Ovis aries: one gene and its partners. The protein of the gene in region 2 purifies or fractionates together with the protein of the main gene of each other region. This does not show direct contact. Links are inferred from orthologs where the notes say so. Each region holds a gene or a part of one and is shown on either strand. Other genes may lie near its edges.

The links.
Region 1: the proteins of DDX5 (region 2) and DHX9 fractionate together in Homo sapiens (co-fractionation; 3 studies listed by BioGRID and IntAct, with this or other methods). This does not show direct contact. The link is inferred for Ovis aries from reciprocal best matches to the Homo sapiens genes DDX5 and DHX9.
Region 3: the proteins of DDX5 (region 2) and DHX15 fractionate together in Homo sapiens (co-fractionation; 3 studies listed by BioGRID). This does not show direct contact. The link is inferred for Ovis aries from reciprocal best matches to the Homo sapiens genes DDX5 and DHX15.
Region 4: the proteins of DDX5 (region 2) and FUS purify together in Homo sapiens (affinity purification with mass spectrometry; 5 studies listed by BioGRID and IntAct, with this or other methods). This does not show direct contact. The link is inferred for Ovis aries from reciprocal best matches to the Homo sapiens genes DDX5 and FUS.
Region 5: the proteins of DDX5 (region 2) and HNRNPR fractionate together in Homo sapiens (co-fractionation; 3 studies listed by BioGRID and IntAct, with this or other methods). This does not show direct contact. The link is inferred for Ovis aries from reciprocal best matches to the Homo sapiens genes DDX5 and HNRNPR.
Region 6: the proteins of DDX5 (region 2) and HNRNPU purify together in Homo sapiens (affinity purification with mass spectrometry; 3 studies listed by BioGRID and IntAct, with this or other methods). This does not show direct contact. The link is inferred for Ovis aries from reciprocal best matches to the Homo sapiens genes DDX5 and HNRNPU.
Region 7: the proteins of DDX5 (region 2) and DROSHA purify together in Homo sapiens (co-immunoprecipitation; 4 studies listed by BioGRID and IntAct, with this or other methods). This does not show direct contact. The link is inferred for Ovis aries from reciprocal best matches to the Homo sapiens genes DDX5 and DROSHA.

What each region holds. Positions count from the first base shown.
Region 1 is NC_056065.1:63,382,973-63,386,472, forward strand, and holds part of DHX9 (ATP-dependent RNA helicase A), read left to right. Parts: intron 1-1,169; coding exon 1,170-1,399; intron 1,400-1,553; coding exon 1,554-1,669; intron 1,670-2,536; coding exon 2,537-2,737; intron 2,738-3,500. UniProt on the Homo sapiens protein: Multifunctional ATP-dependent nucleic acid helicase that unwinds DNA and RNA in a 3' to 5' direction and that plays important roles in many processes, such as DNA replication, transcriptional activation, post-transcriptional RNA regulation, mRNA translation and RNA-mediated gene silencing.
Region 2 is NC_056064.1:48,409,333-48,413,316, forward strand, and holds the start of DDX5 (probable ATP-dependent RNA helicase DDX5), read right to left. Parts: upstream 2,801-3,984; 5' UTR 2,631-2,800; coding exon 2,587-2,630; intron 1,408-2,586; coding exon 1,242-1,407; intron 1,059-1,241; coding exon 962-1,058; intron 878-961; coding exon 744-877; intron 627-743; coding exon 561-626; intron 324-560; coding exon 182-323; intron 98-181; coding exon 1-97. Other genes in the region: CEP95 (centrosomal protein of 95 kDa), read left to right, coding at 3,668-3,686. UniProt on the Homo sapiens protein: Involved in the alternative regulation of pre-mRNA splicing; its RNA helicase activity is necessary for increasing tau exon 10 inclusion and occurs in a RBM4-dependent manner. Binds to the tau pre-mRNA in the stem-loop region downstream of exon 10.
Region 3 is NC_056059.1:44,702,366-44,706,000, reverse strand, and holds the end of DHX15 (ATP-dependent RNA helicase DHX15), read left to right. Parts: intron 1-1,206; coding exon 1,207-1,376; intron 1,377-2,567; coding exon 2,568-2,685; 3' UTR 2,686-3,135; downstream 3,136-3,635.
Region 4 is NC_056077.1:27,789,342-27,792,841, reverse strand, and holds part of FUS (RNA-binding protein FUS), read right to left. Parts: intron 3,243-3,500; coding exon 3,210-3,242; intron 2,614-3,209; coding exon 2,510-2,613; intron 2,021-2,509; coding exon 1,891-2,020; intron 1,637-1,890; coding exon 1,535-1,636; intron 1,401-1,534; coding exon 1,277-1,400; intron 815-1,276; coding exon 714-814; intron 602-713; coding exon 454-601; intron 167-453; coding exon 127-166; 3' UTR 1-126. UniProt on the Homo sapiens protein: DNA/RNA-binding protein that plays a role in various cellular processes such as transcription regulation, RNA splicing, RNA transport, DNA repair and damage response. Binds to ssRNA containing the consensus sequence 5'-AGGUAA-3'.
Region 5 is NC_056055.1:243,258,384-243,261,883, forward strand, and holds part of HNRNPR (heterogeneous nuclear ribonucleoprotein R), read left to right. Parts: intron 1-1,568; coding exon 1,569-1,745; intron 1,746-3,303; coding exon 3,304-3,438; coding exon of another isoform or gene 3,439-3,439; intron 3,440-3,500. UniProt on the Homo sapiens protein: Component of ribonucleosomes, which are complexes of at least 20 other different heterogeneous nuclear ribonucleoproteins (hnRNP). hnRNP play an important role in processing of precursor mRNA in the nucleus.
Region 6 is NC_056065.1:31,694,709-31,698,208, forward strand, and holds part of HNRNPU (heterogeneous nuclear ribonucleoprotein U), read left to right. Parts: coding exon 1-12; intron 13-103; coding exon 104-272; intron 273-523; coding exon 524-778; intron 779-1,038; coding exon 1,039-1,223; intron 1,224-1,552; coding exon 1,553-1,624; intron 1,625-2,094; coding exon 2,095-2,148; 3' UTR 2,149-3,500. UniProt on the Homo sapiens protein: DNA- and RNA-binding protein involved in several cellular processes such as nuclear chromatin organization, telomere-length regulation, transcription, mRNA alternative splicing and stability, Xist-mediated transcriptional silencing and mitotic cell progression.
Region 7 is NC_056069.1:42,131,419-42,135,495, reverse strand, and holds the start of DROSHA (ribonuclease 3), read right to left. Parts: upstream 2,801-4,077; 5' UTR 2,698-2,800; intron 1-2,697. Other genes in the region: C16H5orf22 (UPF0489 protein C5orf22 homolog), read left to right, coding at 3,091-3,171. UniProt on the Homo sapiens protein: Ribonuclease III double-stranded (ds) RNA-specific endoribonuclease that is involved in the initial step of microRNA (miRNA) biogenesis.

The DNA of each region.
Region 1 (3,500 bases), on a different chromosome or scaffold from region 2:
AGTTGATTTACAGTGTTGTGTTAGGCTCTGCTGTACAGCAAAATGAGTCAGTTACACATCACTGTCTTTTTTTAGGTGGAAGGGTGTGTTTTTATTTCTGATCCATTTACTTTGTAAAAAAACAGGCCTAGCTTTTTGCACTTCTAGAATGAGCAGTTTGTTGAATTTACTTCAGGTAGTGGTTTCTGAAGTGATGTGTTAATTTGCTGATCTGTTCATTCTTAGGTGTGAAGTAAACTCTATTGCATTAAATTTTAATTGGCTTTGAGTAAGTTTTAATGGATAGCTAATCATAGAGGACTTTGATATCTGATATAGGAATAGTAATCCAACTGTTCATTTCTTGTGTGAATTTGAACAATTGTACTTCTCCAGCTAGATTGAGACAGAGTTAATTTTCTGAAATATTGAGAGTTGGAACACATAACCAGAAATAGCTAGTTGAGAGAGAGAAGGACTACCTTCTGGGCCATATCTAAATAACTAAACATTTTTCTTCTGTTGTAAACTGACTAAATTTGTACTTTCAAAAATCAAAGGAAAATAGGACATTTTTGTATGATAGACTCTTTACAAAATTCCTGAGATGCAGATATGACCTCCATTTTACAGGTTAGGCAGCTGGCCAGAGGTTTAAATTACTTGTCCACATTCATTCAGTTCAGAAGTTTATAAGACTGGTATACAGGCTTTTTGGAACAAAGTTTATCCACACTCTTACCATCATATTTTCCATGTGATGGCCTGGGCACAAAGCATTTTTTGGGTGAAAACAGCAGCGTTTTTCTAGTGTGTTCCTCTTGGTCATCTTCTGTAGAAGGAACAGCTTTTTAAGAGCAGCAGGTGAAATACTGGTCATACCGGTCTAGCTCTAATCTGAGAGGAGATGGTTAATTGGGGCATTTGTTTTTAAGTACTTCAAGCTTAGTTGTGTCTACAAAAGAAAACAGATGTTTTAATTTTACTAAAATTGTGAAGACTCAGCAAAATTTCTCCTTGCATTAATCTGAGTGCGAGAATGCTAAGAACAGAGGCAGTGAGATGGGTTATTTGAAAAAGAGAATGAGGGAGGAGTTAATTCTTATAATTGTCATTTAATTTTGGTAAATTCAATGTTAGAATTAGCCAGATACTTGATTTTTTTTTTTTACTCTCCTTCCTCTTTACAGAGTGTTTACTGACACAAGTGTTTACTAACACTGGACCAGACAATAATCTGGATGTTGTTATCTCTCTCCTGGCCTTTGGTGTGTACCCCAATGTGTGTTACCATAAGGAAAAGAGAAAGATTCTCACCACTGAAGGGCGTAATGCACTTATCCACAAGTCATCTGTTAATTGTCCTTTTAGCAGCCAAGACATGAAGTACCCATCTCCCTTCTTTGTATTTGGTGAAAAGGTAAGAAAAGGGAGGTTTAGAAAACTTCTACATTTAAAATCCAGATTACTTTATTAATGTGTAGTGGGGACATGGGTTTTAGTTCATTATTATTATATGGTAGTTGATTGACAGTTGGAATGTCAACTTTTTCCTCTTGCCTCTTTATCTTCAGATTCGAACTCGGGCCATCTCTGCTAAAGGCATGACCTTAGTCACCCCCTTGCAGCTGCTGCTTTTTGCCTCCAAGAAAGTTATGTCTGATGGACAGCTTGTGGTTGTAGACGACTGGTATGGATTTTCAGATGTGAACTCACCTGAATTCTTAGAATTGAAATGTACTGGAATTCAGCTGCTAATCTATTTGTGAAATATGGCAGAATTCGATGGCATAAACAATGTGTTGTGTAACACTGTCTTTTCTTAGAGGAGTATATCCTAGGCTTACGATTTGTAGCTGATAGTGAAGTCTCAAATTGATTATACTTGTAGAGGCAGATGCAGTAAATCAGGGGTGCCCACCCTCTGGGGTCTAAGGCCTGATGACCTGAGGCGGAGCTGATGTGGTAGTAATAGAAATTCAGTGCACAGTAAATGTAATGCACTTGAATCATCCCAAACCATCCCCACCACCACCCCAGTCTGGAAGAAGTTTCTTCCACAAAAATCGATTCCTGGTGCCAAAAAGGTTGGGGGCTGCTGCATTACTCATTGGAGCCCCATCCACCACCGTGAATACCATACTGAGGAGTTAAAATCTAATTGGAATTTGGATGCCTCTTTTTTTATGTACACTCCATATTGCTTAGAGACAAGTGGTGTCTGTGTAGTAAGCACTTGGCAGAATTGGACAGAACTTAATGGTTAGTAGTCTCTCATTTCATTCTTTTATTGGAGGCTGAAGTGATCTGTATGGCTAAGCGTACTTCACTTGGTAGACTTCATGGTTCACAACTCCTGCCAGTAGCTAGCAGTGAAGTTTAAGAAGTTGGTTTAACTTATTGTTACTCTTCATACCTGTGTTTGCTAAATCTAGGGCCATTACATTTGGAAAAGAAGTTAAATTTATCCCATCACTTGCCATGGGTGAAATTGGGAGATAATAGTCTTTTTCTGTGTGTACCTCCTCTCATTTTTAATCATTTTTCCCTAATTTAGGATAAGATTGCAAATATCTCATGAAGCTGCTGCCTGTATCACTGCTCTTCGAGCAGCCATGGAGGCTCTGGTTGTTGAAGTAACCAAACAGCCTGGTATCATCAGCCAGTTGGATCCTGTTAATGAACGTATGCTGAACACAATCCGCCAGATCTCTCGGCCCTCAGCTGCTGGTATCAACCTTATGATTGGCACTACACGGTGGGTACCACAGTAACTTTCTTTGAACTAAGCAGAAGAGACAGTAATCTTACTCTACATTTAGTTTATGGAGGCCTTGTTATTTAAGTTAAAATTATATACACATTCTAAATGAAGTTTAGTTCTGGTTAACACATTCAGAGAAAGAGTGTTAATGATATGTTACACCAGTGCATGCTAAAGATAGAGACCTTGGAAGTACATATGGAGTCCAGGATAGGTCCCATGACAGGAAAAAAAGCGACAGGCCCAACTGCTTTGCCATCTCTACAGGAAAAATGATGAGGGCTTAAATTGCTGCTGCTTCGAATGAAAAGCGTCAGAGTTTAATCTTTAAAGTGTTCTAATTGCCTCATTTTTTTTCACCTTTAAAAATTTTCTTTGCCCACTGCCTTTTACTCTCAAAATTTTTGATACCTGTAGAAAAGGCAGAACAGTAGTACAGTGAACTCTGTTAACTTAGGTTTCAATGATTGTCAGCATTTTGTGACACTTGCTTTGATACATATATATATTACACACATACTTTTGTTGAATCATTTGTGATTCAGTTGCAGGTGTTATGACATTTTACATTAGTATGCTTCATGTATCTTTTAAGAACATAGCTATAAGTCACACACAAAAATGTGTTAAAATAATAGTATCTAATATACAGTCATTAAAATTTGTCATTCAAAAATATTTTTCAATCTCCCCATCAAAAATCACTTAACTGCATTTGGTTTTAAAGTGTTAACTTACTATACAGAAATGCTGTGTG
Region 2 (3,984 bases):
TCATCAAGGACAAGGTAGGTGGTTCTTCTTAGATTGGTTTTCCCACATTCTAAAAAGTCTATCAGTCTTCCAGGTGTTGCAATACAGATTTCCACACCTTTAATTAAACACACAAAAGTTACCATGACATCCAGAACTTCCTGCATGATCAGTGACAAATAAAACCTTTTTGGTTACATACCTCTCTCCAAATCACGTATTTGTGGTCCCTTGGGAGCACCACCATAAATGCAAGTAGACTTCAAGCGACATGCTCTACAGTATTCAGCAGCTACTTGCTGCACCTGTTGGGCCAGTTCCCGAGTAGGTGCCAGCACCAAGCACTAAGGAAAGAGAAAGTGGAACACCTTTAGGAGACCCCTGAATTCTAGTTTTGAAGTGCTAATTTACTGTTGCTACACTAGCAGATGATATACATTGTCAATACCCAAAGCAGCTTTGTCCCTTCCTACACTGAAAAACATAACCTTCCATATAAAACCACCAGAATTTTCTTTTGCTGTATATTCTACAAATCTCTACGCTGTTAACCAAGTTAAGAGAATACAATGTACACTTACAATAGGCCCATCACCTCTCTCTAGGAATGGTTGATGATTGATGTGGACAATGGCAGGCAGCAAATACTATACAAAAGAAAAGCAAACAAAAAAAGCCATATTAAAAACACTTCTGGTTTCTTTTAATTCCCAACCCATTTTTCTTCAGGACCTGTCACCTAACTCAAAGTTTCCCAAACTTACAGACAAAGTCTTCCCAGATCCAGTTTGTGCTACCCCAACCATATCCAATCCACTCAGAGCAACCGGCCATCCCTGAGCTTGAATAGCTGTGGGTTCAGTGAAGTTCTGCCTTGCAATCACATCCATGACATTTGCTGTAATGTTAAGAATTAAGTAAACGTCAATAATGCCATGAGAAAGGGATTTTTTTTTTTAAGGTGGGGAAAACTAGCACTTACCAGGGAAGTTTGCCTCATAAAAATTCAGGACTGGCTTTGGGCAGTTATGACCTCTAACTGTAATTTCCTTGCTTCTTCTGTATGTCTCCACCTCTTGCTACAAAAGAAATTTATAAAATTCAGTTATCTCACGAGGACTCCCCCTAACTAAACACACGACCAACACACCCCTAAGTTAATAATTATCAACATTAACATTCCTTTAAGTTTGCAAGACATTTCTAGTCAAACTTAAATGTCACTGAGTTACAAGCTGAAAAAACCACATGAAATTACTCACTGCTGTACGCCTAGCCAAATCGGGGTGTTCTTGATAAAAATTCTTCTCAAACTTGGGCAGCTCATCAAGATTCCACTTCTTTTTAACCAGTTTCTCTCCAGGGTTTCCAAACTTCTTTCCAGATAAGGGCCCTGCCCTACTACCTCCAAATCGAGGAGCACCAAACCTAAAATTTGAGGGGAAAAAAAATTGCATTTTCAAACATGTACAGACTTATTTTACCATCCCTGCGCACATGCTAAAACTCAATGAAAGATTCTGGAGATGCAAGTGCTGTCCTCAGTGATGGTCATTCTTTCAAAAGCCAGTTAGTACTACATCTCCCTCATTTCCCGTTACACGAAGTACACACCATTGAAAACAAATCAACAGCCCGGGATTTACTAGGTTGGAAACTGGCTGGCCAAGCTCTAGGAGTTCAGATACAAGGACAAACAACAGCTGGTGGATACTACTCTTTCACACAAGCGAAAGAATTAAATGCCAAAAAAAAATAAAGCAGAAGCTTAACACAGATGTTACTTAGCACCTGTCCTGAACCAAGAGCTCTGATTTTAATAGGTAGCGGAACAACACAGGTAAGTGAGTGCAGAACACGGCGGGTGGCTCGGGGACAGTTAGGCAAGCCAATCGAGTTGGGGGGATCCCTCAAAACGGTTTCCTACCAAGGTAGCAAAATTATATAACGAAAGGAAAACGAGGAGGAGGAGCCGGAGACTACCGGGGGAGGAGTCCCGGCCCGGGCGGAGTCCTTCGGGCGGCGTTCCCGCTGGGGCGGCGCTTCCCCCTTTGTCTCGCATTTCTCTCTGCGCCACATTTTCTCGACGCTGCCATTTTGAGCTCCTCCGCCGGGCGGGGTAACAAAGGCGCCGCCGCCATGTCCGCCGCCGGCATTTTGTACCCACGGCTCGGCCACATGGCCGATTCCCGCGGCACCGGCCACCCTCCAACCCTCGCCGCATTAACGGCTTCGGAGGCGGCCCCCTCGGCACCCACAGAACCCCCAGATTCCTTAAAATTCCTGTAAGCTTACACCTAATAGTGGCGACTTCGCCTCAAAGCGCTGCGCTTTCCTCCCCTCAAAAAATGTGCTCGAAATTCTCCGAACAGTTGCCAAATCATCAAGGCCCCGATACCCCCTCCAAAACAAAAAAGAATCTTGAGGACCGTTAACATGAAAAGTCCAGGTTTGGACAAATAACAAAATGGCGCAAGCCCTTTTCGATGGCGGAGGCCCGAGAATAGTCTTTAGAAGCCGAGTTGCCCCCGCCACCCCACCCCCGCAACCCTCATCGGTCTCCCATCCCCCACCCGCCGGGCCTGACAGGTCGGTTCCCACACTCACCCTCGATCCCGGCCACGGTCTCGGTCACTCGAATAACCCGACATGGCGTCAATGGTTGCGGTTGGCGGGAAGCGAAGCGGAGAGAATCGGGTGCGACGAGTCGCTGGAGGTGGCTCCGGCGACGGCAAAGCCTTGCGGGGGCGGCAGCGGCGGAGGGACGACGATGACAGAAGCCAAGGCTGCCCAACAAGAGACCGGTGGAAATGAATGAGGTGCCGGCCGCGTCCCGGCAGCCGGTTTTATAGCCTGGCCCGCCTCCTCCGCCGCAGAGAATGCTGGGAGCCGCTCTATGACCTAATCACTCCGCCCCTGCGCAGAGCTATTAACGCCTGCCGGCGTTCCGGGATCCGCCATTTTCTCGCCCCTCCCCCCGGGCCCTTTGCCGACTTTTCGCCCCTTTCAAGGATAGGACCCGCCCCCACCCCGCGGTCCTCCACTGGGATGCCTAAGCCTGCACTCTCTTGACTTCACCTTTTTCTGGTCTTTCACACTTCAGGGAAACCACTGCGCCCTTTTCCAGGTCTAGCCCAGACAATAAAATGTCCAGCCCAGGTCAACTCCCTCGGTCCCCTTGAAGATGTTTACGTCTCCAAAGAGCCTTTACACCCATTACTAGGGGCGACAGGAAGGCGGAGCCTGACATTGTCACGTGGCTGCCCCGCCCGCCGAGTGAGCGGGACGCACTACTTCCCCAGTTGGCGTCGGCGGAGGAGTACAAGACGAAATAGCTCACCGGAAGTGCCGTGCTAATGCCCTCGGGAAATCGGCCGGGGCTGTTGGGCGACCCGAACTGTCAAACCCACCCACCCCAGGACCCCTGAGCGGGGTCTGGCTGGTGAAAAATGGTATCTAGAGTTCGCAAACCGCCACCTCGGCACGTGCCGCCAAAGGAAGTACTCCCGCGGTGACCAATCAGCAGCGAGAAGCCGTTTTAACGTCCCTCCCTCCTTCACCGCACCCCTTCCCGGCACTTTCGTTTGCTTCCTCTCCTGTCAGCCCTGGGTCTGCGCCGTGCGGCCCTTTCAGGACGCCGTCCCGCGCGCGCCCGGCTAGGAGTCCGGCGGCGACTTGCCTCCGCGACATGGCCGGCTCAGAGGCTGGTGAGTCTCTGCGTGGAGCCCCGTTTGTGTGTGGGCTCAAGTACCTTTTCAGTCCAAGTCCTGAACGCCCCTCCCCATCTTATCTTGAGGCTTCGGGTGGGTGTGGGCTGCCGGCGGGGCTCGTGAGACAACCCGGTCGTAGTTGGCGGGTTCTCTGGCTGGGGCTTCTTAGTCCCGCTCCCTGGCGCATTCGAAGTTGTCGAGCCTGATTTGGGGCGGGGAGACAAGGGCCCTGCGGCGAGGCCCGCAGCACGCGAGCATGGTGGCTGTAAATGATCAGAAAGTGTCTTTCCCTAGA
Region 3 (3,635 bases), on a different chromosome or scaffold from region 2:
TGTTACTCAAGCATTATGGATTTCTAATTCTCTCTTAAAACCAAAATCCATTAGAAATGGGACTTTCAAAGTGTAGTGCCTGCCACCTAGTAGGTGCTTAGTAAATATTTATTGAGTGAAATTGAGTTTATTTACTATTATATGTTCAGTTCAGTCGCTCAGTCGTGTCCGACTCTTGGCGACCCCCTGAATCGCAGCATGCCAGACCTCCCTGTCCATCACCATCTCCTGGAGTTGACTCAGACTCACATCATCGAGTTGGTGATGCCATCCAGCCATCTCATCCTCGGTCGTCCCCTTCTCCTCCTGCCCCCAATCCCTCCCAGCATCAGAGTCTCTTCCAATGAGTCAACTCTTCACATGAGGTGGCCAAAGTACTGGAGTTTCAGCTTTAGCATCATTCCTTCCAAAGAACACCCAGGGCTGATCTCCTTCAGAATGGACTGGTTGGATCTCCATGCAGTCCAGGGGACTCTCAAGAGTCTTCTCCAACACCACAGTTCAAAAGCATCAATTCTTCGGTGCTCAGCTTTCTTCACAGTCCAACTCTCACACATCCATACATGACCACAGGAAAACCATAGCCTTGACTTAGACGGACTTTGTTGGCAAAGTAATGTCTCTGCTTTTGAATCTGCTGTCTAGGTTGGTTATAACTTTCCTTCCAGGAGTAAGCGTCTTTTAATTTCATGGCTGCAATCACCATCTGCAGTGATTTTGGAGCCCCGCAAAATAAAGTCTGACACTGTTTCTGCATCTCTTCCCATTGAGTGATGGGACCAGATTTAGGTCCCTTTCTGAAACCGTTCAACTCTGCCTCCCCTTGTTGTGCAAAAGCAACTTTGGACAAATGGGCATACTATGTTTCAAAAAACTTTACTTACCATTTTGAATTTCATGTGATTTCCGTTCCAGCATCACCAAGTGTTTCTGTTTTGATATTTTCCCCCAGTCATTTAAAGGTGTATAAACTGTTCTTGGCTAAGAGGCCTTAAAGATGTAGGCAGTGAGTTGAATTTAGCCTGCTGTAGTTTGCTGATTGCTGCTTTTATTAGGCAGTGCTAAATAAGTCTAGCCATCAGATTAAAAGTACTAGGTGAGGCTTGCCTTTCCCTGATTATATAGGTATAGATATATAGGCTTTATATCACTTTTGTAACTAGCATGTCAGAAGCATTGGATTAATTTACTGGGTTTCGGTTTCAGGTGGCACATTTAGAACGAACAGGGCATTACTTAACTGTGAAAGATAACCAAGTGGTTCAGTTGCATCCCTCTACTGTTCTTGACCACAAGCCTGAATGGGTGCTTTATAATGAGTTTGTTCTTACAACAAAGAATTACATCCGGACGTGTACAGACATCAAGCCTGAATGGTAAGCTCAGTGTCTTTCATTCTAAAAGTTTTCGTTACCATTTTGCTGAGAATGGAATCTGAAGAGAGTCTTGTCTTGTTCTTCTGTTCACTCTGGGGAACTCGGGTGTTCCCCAGCTAGGGTGTATACTCCTGTGTATAGATTTGGGGCACAAAATGGTGTGTGATTATCTGTTAAGAATAATTGCTTTGTAAAGAGGATGGTAGAATTGTTAGCATGGGCATGGGCAATTTGGAGACACCAAGTTAAACTTGACTAACATGAAGAGTATCTTTGAAGCCATTCTCTTGCTGTTGTGATTAACTTGATCTCCAGGTTGCAGTAGTCAATCTTTGTGTTTCAGCTCTCAGTTATTGTTTATTTCTATGTTGGCGCTTTAAAAGCAAAGCAAGCATTAAAAACTGCACCTCTTTTTGTATCATTGCATATTTGATTCACAAAATGTGATCAGAACTGACTGACTTTAAGCAAAATTACCCACCCACTGCAGTCCCCCTTTGTGACTTTTTTTAGGGGCCAGAATCTATTCTGTAACTTAAGATGGAAATGGCAGCCAAGAATGGTGGGACTGAAAGCACTTACTTTAGTTGATGTCACTTGCTGTATATTTTGAGGCTTCTTTCCTCCACTGATTCGTGACTTTTGACACTTAAATTGTATAGGACATTACCATTGTATCTTAAATGCTTTATTGAGAAGAAAATTACATGGCTAAATGTTTAAAAAGATTCAGTCAGGTTTATTCTTTGGGGTATAGAGTTACATTTATGGTTATTAAAACTTAGAAAATGAGACGATCCAGTCATTTGAATATCAGCCTGTTTGTTGTATGGAACTTGTAATATTGTAATTTTAAAGAGATAGATCAAAAGTGTTCCAGAGTGAAGAAACTTATGACCTTATGTTAATGTCTATGTAAAAGAAAGGAGTATTTTTTTTTTACAAGAATTTGAGTGGTTTTTTGTTTCGTTTTTTAAGTTTATGAAAAGTCCACCATCAGAAAATCTGCAGCATACTAAGAAGCACACATTTCTAAAAGTGGTGTTGATAACGATTAGGCATTTGTAATTTTACCGTTGGCTTGGACTTATTATTTGCATTTGTCAGTGTGTCAGTGAATAATGCCTATCCTATCAGAAGCTCCAGTACTCTAATTGTTAATTTGGTGATTTTTCCCCTCCTTCTGGACAGGTTGGTGAAAATTGCCCCTCAATATTATGACATGAGCAATTTCCCACAGTGTGAAGCAAAGAGACAGTTGGACCGCATCATTGCCAAACTGCAATCCAAGGAATATTCACAGTACTGAAATTCAATGCTTAGAACTGAAGTTATTCAGAGGACAGCTTTAAAAGATGAACGAACTGAAAAGTTCAAGTTGTGCTCTTCATGTTGGTTCAATAATGGCCTTTATTTGAAAGCTTTTTAATTTTTCTTTACAGTAAATATTCCATTCTGATTTCATAAATTAAACATTTATGCCTCCCTTTTGTGTTGACACTGTAGCTCATACTGGAAAAGTCGATCAATGTTTTGCAGTTTATTGAAAGTAGTTCTATATATAACAATGTTATAAGCATTTCTTTAGAAATGGTTGAAAATGCTTCTAAAATGTGATTATCGACCATGGTATGCATGATCGTTGTAATTGTTGACATTCCTTTTAGAAGTTGTGAAATGTTACAACTTGTGCTTATGTAGACACAATCTTCTGTCTCGGTACAGAGGCACTGACTTCAATAAAGTCTATTTATACTAATTTTGGCCACAGCACTTTAATATTTTTGTTCTAGTCTAAGTATGGCTTCTTTTCTTCCCAAGTGTGGGGCTTTTTTTGTTTCCTTAAATTGTAAGCGTACTGTGACTCCATATTCAGTGTCTTTCCACAGGGGCTGCTCTTAGGTTTTAAAGGACATACTGTAGCACTTTGTTAGGTTAGTTAGGATCTGATCTAGTGGGATAGAGTATGTTGTTTTTAACTCAGAATTGGATCCCCAAAGACAGAATAATGATAGTTTTCATCATAAAGTTCATTCTATAAGACTGATTATTTATTTTGTTACCAAATTTTTAGCAGATCTTTTTTTTTTTTACTTAGACATTCTATGTACTCTAGTCTCTGAAACAAATGTTTGTGTTAAATAGACAATAGGAAGTGATATTGTAGATGTTGGTCAGTTTATTGAATTCTTAATGTTGGATGTTTTGTGCAGTGTACAAAGTCATGAGTATAGTGTGTTAAAATGTGAATTTCCTTCT
Region 4 (3,500 bases), on a different chromosome or scaffold from region 2:
ATGGTTACAGTTACATAGTCCGACACAAAAAACCCGTGGGTGATCAGGAGGTGGAAGGTTACAAAATAATGAGGGCAGTAACACTGGGTACAGGAAGAAAGCTGCTCCAAGGCCTCGGGAGCCAGGCTAGTACGGCCTCTCCCTGCGATCCTGTCTGTGCTCACCCCTGCAAGAAAGAGCATCCATGAGGTCTGGGTTCCAACCTCTCTACCCATCCACCCCCAAAACCCAACCTGCCCTGCTACCCACCCCGAGAGACAGCTCGTCTCCCTGGGCACGGAGTGCACATGGGCATCCAGACTAGCTCCCCCAGGTAAGTCTCCTTCCCTTGTCTCCTACCCAAGTCTCAGCTTCCCAACCCCGCCCTCAAAATGAAACCACGCTCCCCAAACCCTGCAATCCCATGACCTCTGGTCAACTGCTCTAGTTCCCTTTCAATTTAGTCTTACTTACCTGGAGTCCATCTTGCCAGGGCCGAAACCACCTCTGTCCCCACCACCCCGGCCCCCTCGGAAGCCCCCACGGTCCCCTCCTCGGCCTCGGTAGCCACCCCGATCATAGCCTCCTCTGCCACCACGACGATCATCTCCGTAGTTACCCCCTAGGAAATAAAGAAACATGATTCAACCCTCTATCACATCCCCCAGACCCCTCCTCCCTCCCCCTGTCTAGCCTCCTTGCAGATCCCAACACCAGCTCTGCCTCTTCCTTACCCATATGAGAGCCTCCTGGTCCCCCTCCTGGGCCATCTGGTTTAGGGGCCTTACACTGGTTACATTCATTCCTCCAAGAGAAGTTCATGTTTTCACAGGTACTAAGGAAAAATAAGACAATTAATGTGTGTAGGAGGGGGGTGGAAATGGCCAAGACCTAGAATTATGAAAATTCCAGTGACCCCAGGGATACGTGAGGAAAATGAGGCCTCGGAAAAGCAAAGAGGCCCGTTTCTCAGGAGCAGAGACAAAGACTGCAGGTTACTGAGCCCAGTCTAGATGATTCCCAACCACGCCTATCCCTGACATTAGCAGAACTACAAGCTCTGTCCTAAGGTCAAGGTGGTGCTAGTGGGTAAAGAACCTGCCTGCCAACACAGGAGACATAAGAGGCTTGGGTTTGATCCCCAGGTTGGGAAAACCCCCTGGGGAAGGGAATGGCAATCCACAGTCCTTGGGGTTGCAGAGTCAGACAGGACTGAAGCAACAACTTGGCACATAACTTAACATCAAAGGGCACATGTACAAGAGGGCTGAGAAAAAAATTAAGCAGTTTCACTCACGGATTAGGACACTTCCAGTCCCCTGCTCGCTGCTGTCCTCCGCCACCGCCACCGCCACTGGGGAATCCTCCTCGGCCACCGCCGCCGCTGCCACCACCTCCATAGCCTCCACGGCCCATAGGTCCTAGAACAGAGCGAAGAACAGGTCTGCTCACCTTCCAAGTGTGGTTAACCTGTCTTTCCCACACAAGCCCTTACCATCCTCCTTCCCTCTTCTCTCCCCATCACTTCTTTACAGCAACACAAAGAGCTCCTTACCTCCTCGCCCTCGGCCTCCACGACCATTGCCACCACCCCGATTGAAGTCTGCTCGCCGAGTAGCAAATGAGACCTTGATAGGATTCCCAGAGAATTCTTTACCTATAAGAAATAAAGGAGGTATAAAAGAGACTTCTAATTAAGACCTATGACCTGTGGGTCCCAAAGTATACCTGGTACAATCAAGAGAAGACTCTGCCTTCTTACAAATGTTTACAATCTCACGAAACATAACCAAATATAAGACTACACCAACAGGGTAGTGCTGTTAAGTCTTGGAAGACTCAAAGAAACCCTCAAAATGCAGCCTGTTTCCCCAAGCTAGCTGCCCTCTCCCCCAGCCTCCTCAGACATACCATCAAACCAGTCAATAGCTGCTTTGGCGGAAGGTGGATCATCAAATGATACGGTGGCCTCTCCCTTCAGCTTGCCTGTTTCCCTGTCTGTGTACAGATTAATCATGGGCTGTCCTGTTTTCTTATTTGTCTGAAGAAAGCAACATGAGATCACATCAGTCTATCAGAGAATACAGCACTATCAAAACCATACCTTCCTATTTCATACATAACTTGAAAGAAAGCCATCGACTGTTAACTGCTTCTCCCTTCAATATTAAATGACAAAGATTATAGACTACAATTCAAAAGTTTTAATCATCTTTTTAATCAATTGTACCTTTTTGTGTTAAAATGATTCCCTTTGGAATGGCAACAGTTAATGCTTTTTCCTCAACAAATGAAGCAGGCAACCATTAAGATTTCTATTTTCACTAAGGTATGAAATCCCAAAGCCTGCAGCACTAATAGAATGTATCCACTCTGCCCCAGAAGTACCTTTCGGGGCTGGGGGGGACATAGCCACTCTTTATTGGGGCCGGGGGGATCTTAGTTCCCCAATGAGGAATCAAACCCGTGCCCTTGCAGTAGATGCGAGGAGTCCTAGCCACTGGCCTGCCAGAGAAGTTCCCATAAGTACCTTAATGATACCAATCTGCTTGAAGTAATCAGCTACAGACTCAATTGTAACATTCTCGCCCAGCCCTTGCACGAAGATGGTGTTGTTGTCTGAATTATCCTGTTCTGCTTGCCCAACACAGCAGGAAACATGGAGACAGAAAACAACCAGAGATAAAATAAGTCAGTGACACTTAGTAACCTGAACTTTGATACTTGATAGTTAGCTTTCCAAGAAAGAAAATTTCTAAACCAATTAATATAAAGCACTGGTGCTGTAGGTCCGACAAATCTCCAACTCTACTTCATTATGAGTGCCTGTATGCTAGCCGCTTCACCAATTAAAATTTAGGTTTACAACTACCCCTTAAAATATGTTGAAATTCGTAAAAGAATCCAGGGCTCAGGATTTAACTGCCCAAGACCACACCAGTGTTTGTCAACTTTCAGTTGAAGACCCCCAAAGAAACTAATTTTACACTAAAACGCAGCATTCCCACCAGGGAAGCCCTATACAAACATCATCAAAACAACACATACACTAAGTGCGTCCCTGTGTCTTTCTTGTTAAATACACTATTCAACACAGCTACTCCTAACTAAACGCTCTTCCCCGCTCTTCTCTAGCCCCGCTCTTCTTCAGATTCCCTTAAGTTTGAACAACATCCAAGGAAAGTCCTGCTACCACTTTTGCCTTTCTTTCCTGCCACCTGCGGACTTACCAGAGTCATGACGTGATCCTTGGTCCCGAGGGCCTTAAATGACATAGAAGAAAAAACAAAAACAAAAAAACAAAAAAACAAGGAAAGAGGAGCCGTTAGTTAAGAGGCTGAGAAAGACAAGCAAAATAATTAACACCAAATCCAAACTTTTGCAAAATATCAGGTAAGTGCTCACAGCCAGCCTCACTCCAAACCCTGTTCTGGGTCGCCTGCCCAGAGAAAACCCTAGGCAGGTCTGGGAAAGACACAGGCCCCTTTTCTTAAGGTCTGCATGTAACTTGAGTCCCCACA
Region 5 (3,500 bases), on a different chromosome or scaffold from region 2:
AGTCGGTGATGCCATCCAACCATCTCATCCTCTGTTGTCCCCTTCTCCTGCTTTCAATGTTTTCTAGCATCAGGGCCTTTTCCAGTGAGTCAGTTCTTCGCATCAGGTGGCCAAAGTATTGGAATTTCAGCTTCAGTATCAGTCCTTCCAATGAATATTCAGGACTGATCTCCTTTAGGATGGACTGGTTGGATCTCCTTGCAGTCCAAGGGACTCTCAAGAGTCTTCTCCAACACCACAGTTCAAGGCCGTCAGCTTTCTCATAGTCCCAACTCTCACATCCAAACATGCCTACCGGAAAAACCATAGCTTTGACTAGATGGACCATTAAAAAGCAATGTCTCTGCTTTTTAATAAATGCTGTCTAGGTTGGTCATAGCTTTTCTTCCAAGGAGCAAGGATCTTTTAATTTCATGGCTGCAGTCACCATCTGCAGTGATTTTGGAGCCCCCAAAAATAGTCTGTCTGGAAAAAAAAAGTTTCCGTTGTTCCCCATCTATTTGCCATGAGGTGATGGGACCGGATGCCACAATCTTAGTTTTCTGATTGTTGAGTTTTTACTTCATTACTTCATCAGTCGGATCAATTATCAGGATATGAAATGTTGATGTAGATGAGTTTCACTAGAAAATTCATCTCATGCAAGCAGTAATTTACTCTTTAAGACTGTGTGTGTGGATTGCGAGTGTTTTAACATAAAAGGTTATTTTCCGTATTGCTGACTTGGTAGAAATTTGAATTGTCATCTGATATTAAATACTGAGAAGCTTTATGATTGTTTCATTCTAATTTAGCATTCCTGTATATTATGACTTAATCCTACTTACTATGTAATTTTAACTAAGAATACAAAATCTTCAAATTATGATGAATTTTTTTCATATCTTAAAATGTAATATTCTGATAGAGAAAGGAATTCTGATGAAGAAAGATTAAAGCAGGGGAGTTTTAAGTAGTAAAGATTTTAGAGTTGAGAAATTTGAAAGAGACCTCATCGATCTTTTATTCAGTTTTTTTTAATTTAACTTTTATTGTAACTTTATTGAATTGGCATGTTTATCCTATAGTGAAAGTGGAAGTGTTACTCGCTTAGTCATGTCTCACTCTTTGTGACCCCATAGGCTGTAGCCCACCAGACTTCTCTGTCCATGGAGTTCCCCAGGCAAGAATACTGGAGTGGGTTGCCATTCCCTTCTCCATATTCAAGTATGGTTTTTCTAAAAAATGCAGATGTATTTCAGTGAAGATTTATATAGGCCTTTTATTCTATTTTTTTGTGAGAAAAGGACAAATTTAAAAAGTTTAAAATTTAAGAGTTATTACTACAAATTGTGAGCACTTACTATTAATCAGTTTCCATTTTTCAGTATAGAATATTATTGTTCTGTGTTGATGCCCTGAAAGTCATTATAATGAAAAACTAGGATTAACTTCATAAGATTCAACTTGCCCCAATTTTTCCTTAACCATCTTTGTGTCCCCACCCCCTAAAAAAGGCACCTAGGTTTTGTGGCTCTAAAATCAAATGCTTGTTACATTGGGATTCTAACATACAGGTTTTATTTCAGGTCTTTGTAGGTAAAATACCAAGAGATTTATACGAGGATGAATTGGTGCCCCTTTTTGAAAAGGCTGGTCCCATTTGGGATCTGCGTCTTATGATGGATCCACTGTCTGGTCAGAACAGAGGGTATGCATTTATCACCTTCTGTGGAAAGGAAGCTGCACAGGAAGCTGTTAAACTGGTATGTGATAAACAAAACAAATACCCATTGTCTAGCAAGTCATTTGAGAGAAACACTTGAATTAAAAACATTTGCAGTTAACATTGTTTCATTTACTTTAGTTTTTGTTTTGAGAGTTTTTATATTGACTGAGTTAGTATGTGTCTGGTGGCTATTTTTTCATATTATGAAAGTAAAAAATAAATGAAAATACCACAGAAGTAAGGTGATAGTCTCCCATAATTCTAAGAAGTTATTACAGCAGTTACTATCTAAAGTTTCATTTGAATATTTGGCTTTTGCAGTTCTCCCTTTTGATCTTAGACAGAAATGTCAATTCTTGCTGTTAAACTTTAGAGTAAGATTCTTATGGGTTCTGGGGAATATAACTGGGCTCCTTGACTTTTAGGACACAATTTGGGAAATGGTTGTGAATCTCTCTTGTTTTTATCATAACCTAATCATACAATTTATTTATTTTCTAAGTATATTCTCGTTCTTTTCTTTTTGTTTCCAAACTCTCCAGTTCTCTTTGTTTTTAATCTTTCTCTTTTACTATTACTTGATAACCAGTCTTCTAGGAATCTCCTTTCTGTAGGGCCTTTTATCCTTTGTACTTATTTCAGAGTAGTACACAAATTAAGTATGGCTTCACTCCTACTGTGTTAAGATACAATCATCTCAGTAACTCAAAATAGCAGTGTTGTTGGTTTTTGGGGATACTCTTGGCAGACAGCTGAAGGCCTCAGTCTAGTTTTAGTTCTTTTAGAATGGTAACCTTTCACCAAAGCTTTTCATTTCATTAGTTGCTTCTAAATTTGTTCTACTTCTAACTTGACCCAGATTTTTGTTTTTATTATGGACCTTTTTCCTTCCAGTTTGTTTATTTAGTACTGAGAAGTTTTTAAAGTTTTATTTCCTTGCTTCTGGCAACATATGGATGATTTTTTTTTTTAATTACATATTTGTTTTATAAACTAATAGGTAAGTAATGTTAAGGCATAAAAAGCGCAAGTTTACCTAGGAAATCATCACCATAACCATTTAAATAAAACACTTTATTCCTATGATTTAATACAATTTTGAAAGTATTATGTTTAATATGAAGTTTAAATTTTTTAAATTCTGTTTTATGTAAAAGGTGAAATTCTTCTCCGTTTCTTTGCGTTGATTAAACATAGTTGTTATTCTTTACATTTTGTTGTTTTCCTGAGACTTGTCTCTATCTCATTTCATCTCCAAGGGCTCTGAATTACCAGTTTCAGGTAGTTTTCCTAAAATTCTCTGGGAAGAAATCTTGAGATTGATAATATTGAAATAAATCAGATCTTTTCAAAGATAGAGTGAATAACTTTGATTCATTTAATTTGATAGAGCAGTGAAGGTTAATGAAACCAAACTAAAACAGAGGCTGTAAAAGTTTAAAATACACATTTTATATTATGGCAAGCATGAGGGGACTTGATGAATTCATGAAGCAGGGAGTGTTTGACCTTGAATTGTCCAGTTTTTTAGACTGAAATCAGTTGTTCTGAGTTTGGGGTGGTTGTGGGGTGTCTGGTTCTTTTCTTCCTTTCAGTGTGACAGCTATGAAATTCGCCCTGGTAAACACCTTGGAGTGTGCATTTCTGTGGCAAACAACAGGCTTTTTGTTGGATCAATTCCGAAGAATAAGACTAAAGAAAACATTCTGGAAGAATTCAGTAAAGTCACAGGTAAAACAAAAATGTATTTAGAAATTAGTTTTGGGAAATCTGTGGTATACTATAAGTACAA
Region 6 (3,500 bases), on a different chromosome or scaffold from region 2:
ATTTTGGATCAGGTAAGCTGTAACTTTGAAGTTGAAAAAACTGATAATTGTAGAATTAATGTTTGAGGTTAAAAACTTTTTTTTTTTTCTCTTTTTCTGAAAGACAAATGTGTCTGCTGCTGCCCAGAGGAGAAAAATGTGCCTCTTTGCAGGCTTCCAACGAAAAGCTGTTGTAGTTTGCCCAAAAGATGAAGACTATAAGCAAAGAACACAGAAGAAAGCAGAAGTAGAGGGAAAAGACCTACCAGAACATGCAGTCCTCAAAATGAAAGGCATGAAGTTCTATTACCTTAAATATCCTGTGATTTGTATCTGTTAGCTTAATGTCAGTAATAACTTTCAAGAGTTAAATTAACTGTAAATGAACATATATTTAACTTGTGTTTGTAAGAAAATGTAATTACAATATGACTAGGTGTTGTGTGTTTTGTAAGAATTAACAGCTGATTGAGAGTATTGGGCTTTAGGGTTGTGAATGTGTATGTAGTGGGTTTGTAGGTTAATATGATTTTATGTTTTGCAGGAAACTTTACTCTGCCAGAAGTAGCTGAGTGCTTTGATGAAATAACCTATGTTGAACTTCAGAAGGAAGAAGCCCAGAAACTTTTGGAGCAATATAAAGAAGAAAGCAAAAAGGCTCTTCCACCGGAAAAGAAACAGAACACAGGCTCAAAGAAGAGCAATAAAAATAAGAGCGGCAAGAACCAGTTTAACAGAGGCGGTGGCCATAGAGGACGTGGCGGATTCAATATGCGCGGTGGAAATTTCAGAGGAGGAGGCAAGTTATGTTGAGTATTATTTGGTCCAAGGTTGAAACAAATGGTACACTTCCAGTTTGGGTCTATATGTTACTTAGCTGAATTTAACATAGGAAGCTTTTGATGTGCATTATCTGAGCTGTCTTAGTAAGCATGTCTAGGTTATGTTGAATGGTTAAACATTTTTCTCCTGAAATGAAGGAATGGTCCAAAAGAACCCTAAGTCTCATGTAAAGAAGGCAGCAACACACTACTAAATGAGATGTTTCTTGTTTTCTAGCTCCTGGGAATCGTGGTGGATACAACAGGAGGGGCAGTATGCCACAGAGAGGAGGTGGCGGTGGTGGCAGCGGTGGCATTGGCTATCCGTACCCTCGCGGCCCTGTCTTTCCCAGCCGCGGCGGCTACTCAAACAGAGGGAACTACAACAGAGGGGGAATGCCTAACAGAGGGAACTACAACCAGGTAACCATTTAAGATCTCTGCAGACGCTGATTCTCTATATAATTTAGTGTAAAAGGTTAAATATGATGGGCAGCCTCAGTTAAGAATACAGTGTATATGCATAATTATTTTTAGGTGCGTTAACTGCTAGTAGGAGCAAGTCAGGTGTGATGTCTCTTAGTGAATAAGTTAATCACCTGAAAGGAAACCCAGCAGAGTGCTCAGAGGTTCATGGTTGACCGCCCATCCATCCATTTCTGCAGCTGTGTCCCCTCTTTTCCCTCTGCCCCTTAGATAAACCTAGCAACTTGTGTTCTGAGTTCTTTAAAGATTTTTTTTCTTTTTTGTAGAACTTCAGAGGACGAGGAAACAATCGTGGCTACAAAAATCAATCTCAGGGCTACAACCAGTGGCAGCAGGGTGTAAGTAATTCCTTATGTGCTTTTATGTACATTTAATTGTATTTTGAATTCATAAGAATCAATCTTAAAAAAAGATCTTGTCTAGGGATCGAAGTGTTTATAAATAAGTATTACAGGGCAAGCTGTGAGCTGTATTGCAGTTGTAGCTGTATACTATCTTTTGAAGGCGAGATAGGTTGGAGTTTGCTGTAACTTAATATTTTTTAATAAAGTAATATTTAATTCATACGTTTTTTTTTTTTACTGATAGCTTTAATTGTATAAACTAACCGAAGTCGTAATGTGTTTCCTTTTGTAATGTGTATTGATAATGGGATGTTAATACTAACTAAATCTGGCTTGATAAATCAGAGGAATGACAGGTATAAATTTGTTTCCAGCAATTACTCTGAATTAGATTGTCATTTCCTAAAAGCAATTTGAGTGGCTTATTGATGTTTTTTCTTTAAAAAAAAAATTTTCTCTTACAGCAATTCTGGGGTCAGAAGCCATGGAGTCAGCATTATCACCAAGGATATTATTGAATACCCAAATAAAACGAACTGATACATATTTCTCCAAAACCTTCACAAGAAGTCGACTGTTTTCTTTAGTAGGCTAACTTTTTAAACATTCCACAAGAGGAAGTGCCTGCGGGTTCCTTTTTTAGAAGCTTTGTGGGTTGATTTTTTTTCTTTTCTTTTTTGTACATTTTTAATTGCAGTTTTAAAGTGAATCGTAAGAGAACCTCAGCATTGTGCACGATAAGAGAATGTGTCAGTATTTCAGGGTTCTACATTTTATCTGTAAAATGTGACTTTTTTTTTATCACAACAAAAGTAAAATGTTGCTTTGTACCTGGTGTCTTTTATTAAGAATTTACTCCCCCCCATTTCTCACAGAGATAACAGTCGGGAGTCATTGTCACAATATAATAGAAATGTTAGCAACCAGATTCATGTAAGGACTTAGTGGTCCTCATGAATTGCATAAGACTCTGTACTGCTCATATTACACTCCATCCTCTCTGTAGTTTGCTGAGTAGTGGAGGGGTAAGCTAAATAGTAGTTTTTGACGGTAACTGGGAAGGCTCTTTCTTTTTAAGTAACGATGGAATTGGCATATTTGGGAATGAAGATAAAATTTGGAACGAAGATAGAGAAGATGGAGTGTATGTAGAAGGGCTGTTAAAAAATGTAAAACTTGGTTGCATTATTTGTGGAGGCTCAAACTTGTGAAGGTTTAAGTACCATAATTTTTCCATTTGTTCTGCATTTTGATTCTGAAAAGAAAGCTGGCTTTGCCCATTTCTTATTAAAAAAACTTGTTGTAAATCCAGTTGTCTAATGGGATCTATATGAAGTTAGCTATGTCTGTATGCCCTTCTCCCACAAAATACTGTATAACTAGTGTGCTTGTAGTAGTTAACTCCACCATCTTTGTAAGCTAATGAAATTGTGAGTCACCCATTTATATCTTAATTTTTAATCATGTCAGTTCTTGAATGGGTATCTCCTTAGCCTGCTGATTTCTTTTTCTTTCTAAAGAAAGTGGGTGGAGAAATTAATTTAGACGTTTGTTTGCAATAAAAAGAATTCATTTTACTCTTGTTTTGGGATTCTCGCCATCAAGGTTCAAAATCCCTTTATGAAACTCCCAAGAGGAGAAAATTTAAGTGTGTGCTTTCTGGACAGCTTATTCTTTACTGTGCACTTAGAACATTTAGGTTTTAAAAACTTAAATGTATATTGACAATTGACTTAAAATTATGAAGTTGAACTCTTCCCTTCCCCTCCCCCCTGATGACTTTAAACATTTAATGAGGGGAAAAGGTACTGGCTGGGAGAAGTTAACACTCAGTTTACCATCTTTACAAAATGCTAATGGCTGTCCTCAA
Region 7 (4,077 bases), on a different chromosome or scaffold from region 2:
GCACAAGCCGGAATCAAGACTGCCGGGAGAAATATCAATAACCTCAGATATGCAGATGACACCACCCTTATGGCAGAAAGCAGAGAGGAACTAAAGAGCCTCTTGATGAAAGTGAAAGAGAAGAGTGAAAAAGCTGGCTTAAAACTCAACATTCAAAAAACTAAGATCATGGCATCCAGTCCCATCACTTCATGGCAAACAGATGGGCAAACAGTGGAAACAGTGACAGACTTTACTTTTTTGGGCTCTAAAATCACTGCAGATGCTGACTGCAGCCATGAAATCAAAAGACACTTGCTCCCTGGAAGAAAAGCTATGATCAACCTAGACAACATATTAAAAAGCAGAGACATTACTTTGTCAACTAAGGTCTATCTAGTCAAAGCTACAGCTTTTCCAGCAGTCATATATGGATGTGAGAGTTGGACTATAAAGAAAGCTGAGCACCGAAGTACTGATGCTTTTGAACTGTGGTGTTGGAGAAGACTCTTGAGAGTCCCTTGGACTGCAAGGAGATCCAACCAATCCATCCTAAAGGAAATACATCCCGAATATTCATTGGAAGGACTGATGCTGAAGCTGAAACTCCAATACTTTTGCCACCTGATGGGAAGAACTGACTCACTGGAAAAGACCCTGATGCTGGGAAAGACTGAAGGTGGGAGAAGAAGGGGATGATAGAGGATGAGATGGTTGGATGGCATCACACACTCGATGGACATGAGATTTTGAGCAAGCTCTGGGAATTGGTGATGGACAGAGAAGCTTGGCATGCTGCAGTCCGTGGAGTCACAAAGAGTTGTACACAACTGAGTAACTGAACTGAATGATTATCATTCAGTTCAAGACCCTCATGATAAACCTGGGGCCTAGACAGCCCATCCTGAGACCACAAGCTACTCAGAGCCAAAAGAATCAAGCTCAAACTCCATGCTTGGCATTTAAGGCCCTCTGCAATCTGGACCCAACTTCTTCCAGGCTAATCCTCCATTAACTTCCCCATGAAGTGCCTATCATCCTGCGTGCGTGCTAAGTCATTTCAGTCATATCCACTCTTTGCAACCCTACGGATTGTGGCCCAACAGGCTCCCCTGTCCATGGGATTCTCCAGGCAAGAACACTGGAGTGGATTGCCAGGCCCTCCTCCAGGGGACCTTCCCAACTCAGAAATCGAACCCTCCTCTCATTATGTCTCCTGCACTGGCAGGCAAGTTCTTTATCTCTAGGGCCACCTGGGAAGCTCTCCTATCATCCTAGGTGTTTCCAGTTCCTAACATATGAAGTACTATCATCCAGCTTATTCTTTACTTCTGGTCTTCTAAAACCCCTCCCTGTGACTTTGCCCATTAAGTTTTTAACCCATCTACCCATGTCAAACGCCACATCTTCTGTGCTGCCTATCTTGGTTCCCTTTAGGAAGTAATCCCATTCCCTCAAGACTTCCATTGCTCTTAGTCTGTACTTACTTCTTTTACAGCACTTACCAGAGACTGCCTCATATAATAATCATGTGTGTACATGTCTTAACTCCTCCACTAGGTTATTAGCTCCTTGATGAATTGGGTTGACCCATAATCATTTCTGTATCCTTCACAGCCCCTGGCAGAACATCCTGCACACAGTAGGTGATCAGTAAGTGTTTACTGGCTCACCAGTGATATATGTTTCTATGTTGCTACTGGACATTTCCCTACTGAATATATCCACAACAGGTTTGCATTACCAAAACCAGACAAAAAGCAGACCTTTTCACTGATTCATGCAACATTTAATGAGCCTAGACAGGTGGGGCATGGGCACAGGCCCTGATCAAACATGAGTAAGGCACATAGTAAGCAGGGCTCCTGAAGCCCAGAATCCATATGCAGATACAGATTTTTTTTTTTAATTACATAATGTGATAAACACAAGAAAAGAGGTATGCAGAGTCCAGGGGAAACACAAAGGAGTGTACTGAATCTAGAGGTGGACAAGAGTCAGGATCACCACTACTCCTGTATCGTGTGTTCACTGTTGTTGAACATTCACTATTAGATCCTCATGGATATTTCTAGAAACAGAATATCTGAAAACATTGATTATGAAACTGACCTATTAAAGGCACAGTCAGGCTGTGTGGTGGATGTGAACTTCAATTCAAAAGTCAAGGAACTCACTGCAACTGGAAAAGTAATTATTTTCGGCGTCTGCCTCCTCTTAAGTTGCTGTTTGGAAGCAGGGAAAGTGAGGGAGTCGTTTTGCATAGTTAACGTGCAGGAACATCACTCTTTGCAGAAAGAGTTGAAATGTGGGACTACATTTCTGTTAACGCGCTCTTCCACCACCTGAATTCCCAGCCCGGTTACTTATGTCTGGATGATTCGTAATTGCGTGCTTCCCTGTTTACATCTCCCGCCAGATAGTGAGCCCCACGGTGTAAACTTACAGTCTCACTCCCTGCCCGAGATCCCGGCGGCCCCAGGCCTGGACCACCACATGCGCGCCACAATGAATGAAAGGTCTCATTTTTCACTACTATTTATTTACAGGGTACGGGCCTAGGGTCCCTTTCCTTTGCCCTTCGCTGCAGATCTGAAGAGGAGCTGCCGGATCCTAACTCCCAGACGCCTCTCACCCCAGCCCCAGACGCCAGCCCCGTTGAAATTCGGATACTTGGAAACACTCCCTCTTCCAACACCCACAAGCTGACCCTTTTACCTAGAAAAGCTCTCGGGCTGCGAGGTCGCCGTTAGAGTAAAGCCAGAGTTATAGTGTAGCCTCCAAGACCGTAGTACCGCCCGCGGCTCCGGAACAGGAAAGCACAGGAATTAAAAAGCAAACCTGAGAAAGCCGGACTGCAAGAGGGAAAGCGCTCGGGAATCGCCGCAGCGCCTTGTGCACGGTGATTGGTGCTTCAATAAGAACGATGGACATCTAAGCCAATCGGTCTCCTCGAGTCTCTGGCGCCCGCCTCCTGCCCCTTACCTCCTCCAATCCGAAACCACAACCGGGTGAGCGCGCGTTTACTCCCGGGAGAGGAGGCGGGCCGCAGCTCAGGCTCTTGAGGGAACCTTGGCTCCGGATTTTTGGGACTCTGACGCGCGCGAAAACATGAGTGAATCGGGGGGACAGCGCGCCCGGCTCCGGCGCTATCCTGAGCTCCCGGTGTGGGTGGTGGAGGATCATCAGGAGGTGAGTGGGCAGCTGACGGGTGCTGGGCAGGGTCGCGCGAGGACTGAGGCGGCGGCGGAGCCTGGAGGCCAGAGAGAGAACCAGAATCCGAGCGAGTTGCGGTGCTGTGGGGAAAACAGCAGGACAGCGAGCTTTAACGTCAGCGCTTACTACGAGTCCGGCAACTCACTGAACCCTCGCGGTTTGCCCAAAATCCCACGGCCAACAATTAGTGGCTTCGGGATTCGAACGTGGACAGTCGTAACTGCAGTAACTCGAGTCCTTAACCTGCTCATAACAAAGGCTTCCTGCTGTCTCCCGGCCTCCCCTTCACAATTCTGTGGTGTCGGTGGGAGGCTTCTGTTGAGAATATGCACTGTCATCTGTGAAATGGGTACAGAGTAGCTCTCAGAGCCGTTAGTATTATTGTGTGAGTAGTGTGTGTATGAATCTTTTAACACGGCGCTATAAAGATATTTTTCTGTTTTTGTAGTAGTGCTACTTTATAATAGCTAAAATGGTGCCCACATCTAGATTTCTGGAAGCCTGCGAGAGTCCCGTGATCGAAGACTTTCTGTTTTTGATAGCTTTAATAATCCTTAGGAATTCTGTGGATGTTAAAGAGGAAGAGGCCGATTCCAGATGTGCGGATGAATAAAGATAATAGGAAGGAAATTTGGTTTCTCAGGACCTAGAGATAATGTGCATGGGGTAGGTGGTGCTTTCAGATTCAATCTTAACTTAGAACTCCAGAGACTGTAACGGAACAAAGAGCCTTAGAGAGGACCTAGCCCAGCAACCAGCATCCAAAAGGTGTGAGAAAGACGCAGAGACCCAGGGTAGCTTGAACACACCTTTTACACCAGAGTGTGATTTAACAAGCAGTTGTTTTTGCTTTTCTTTCCTTGAGTACTGGAGCTTGTCTGT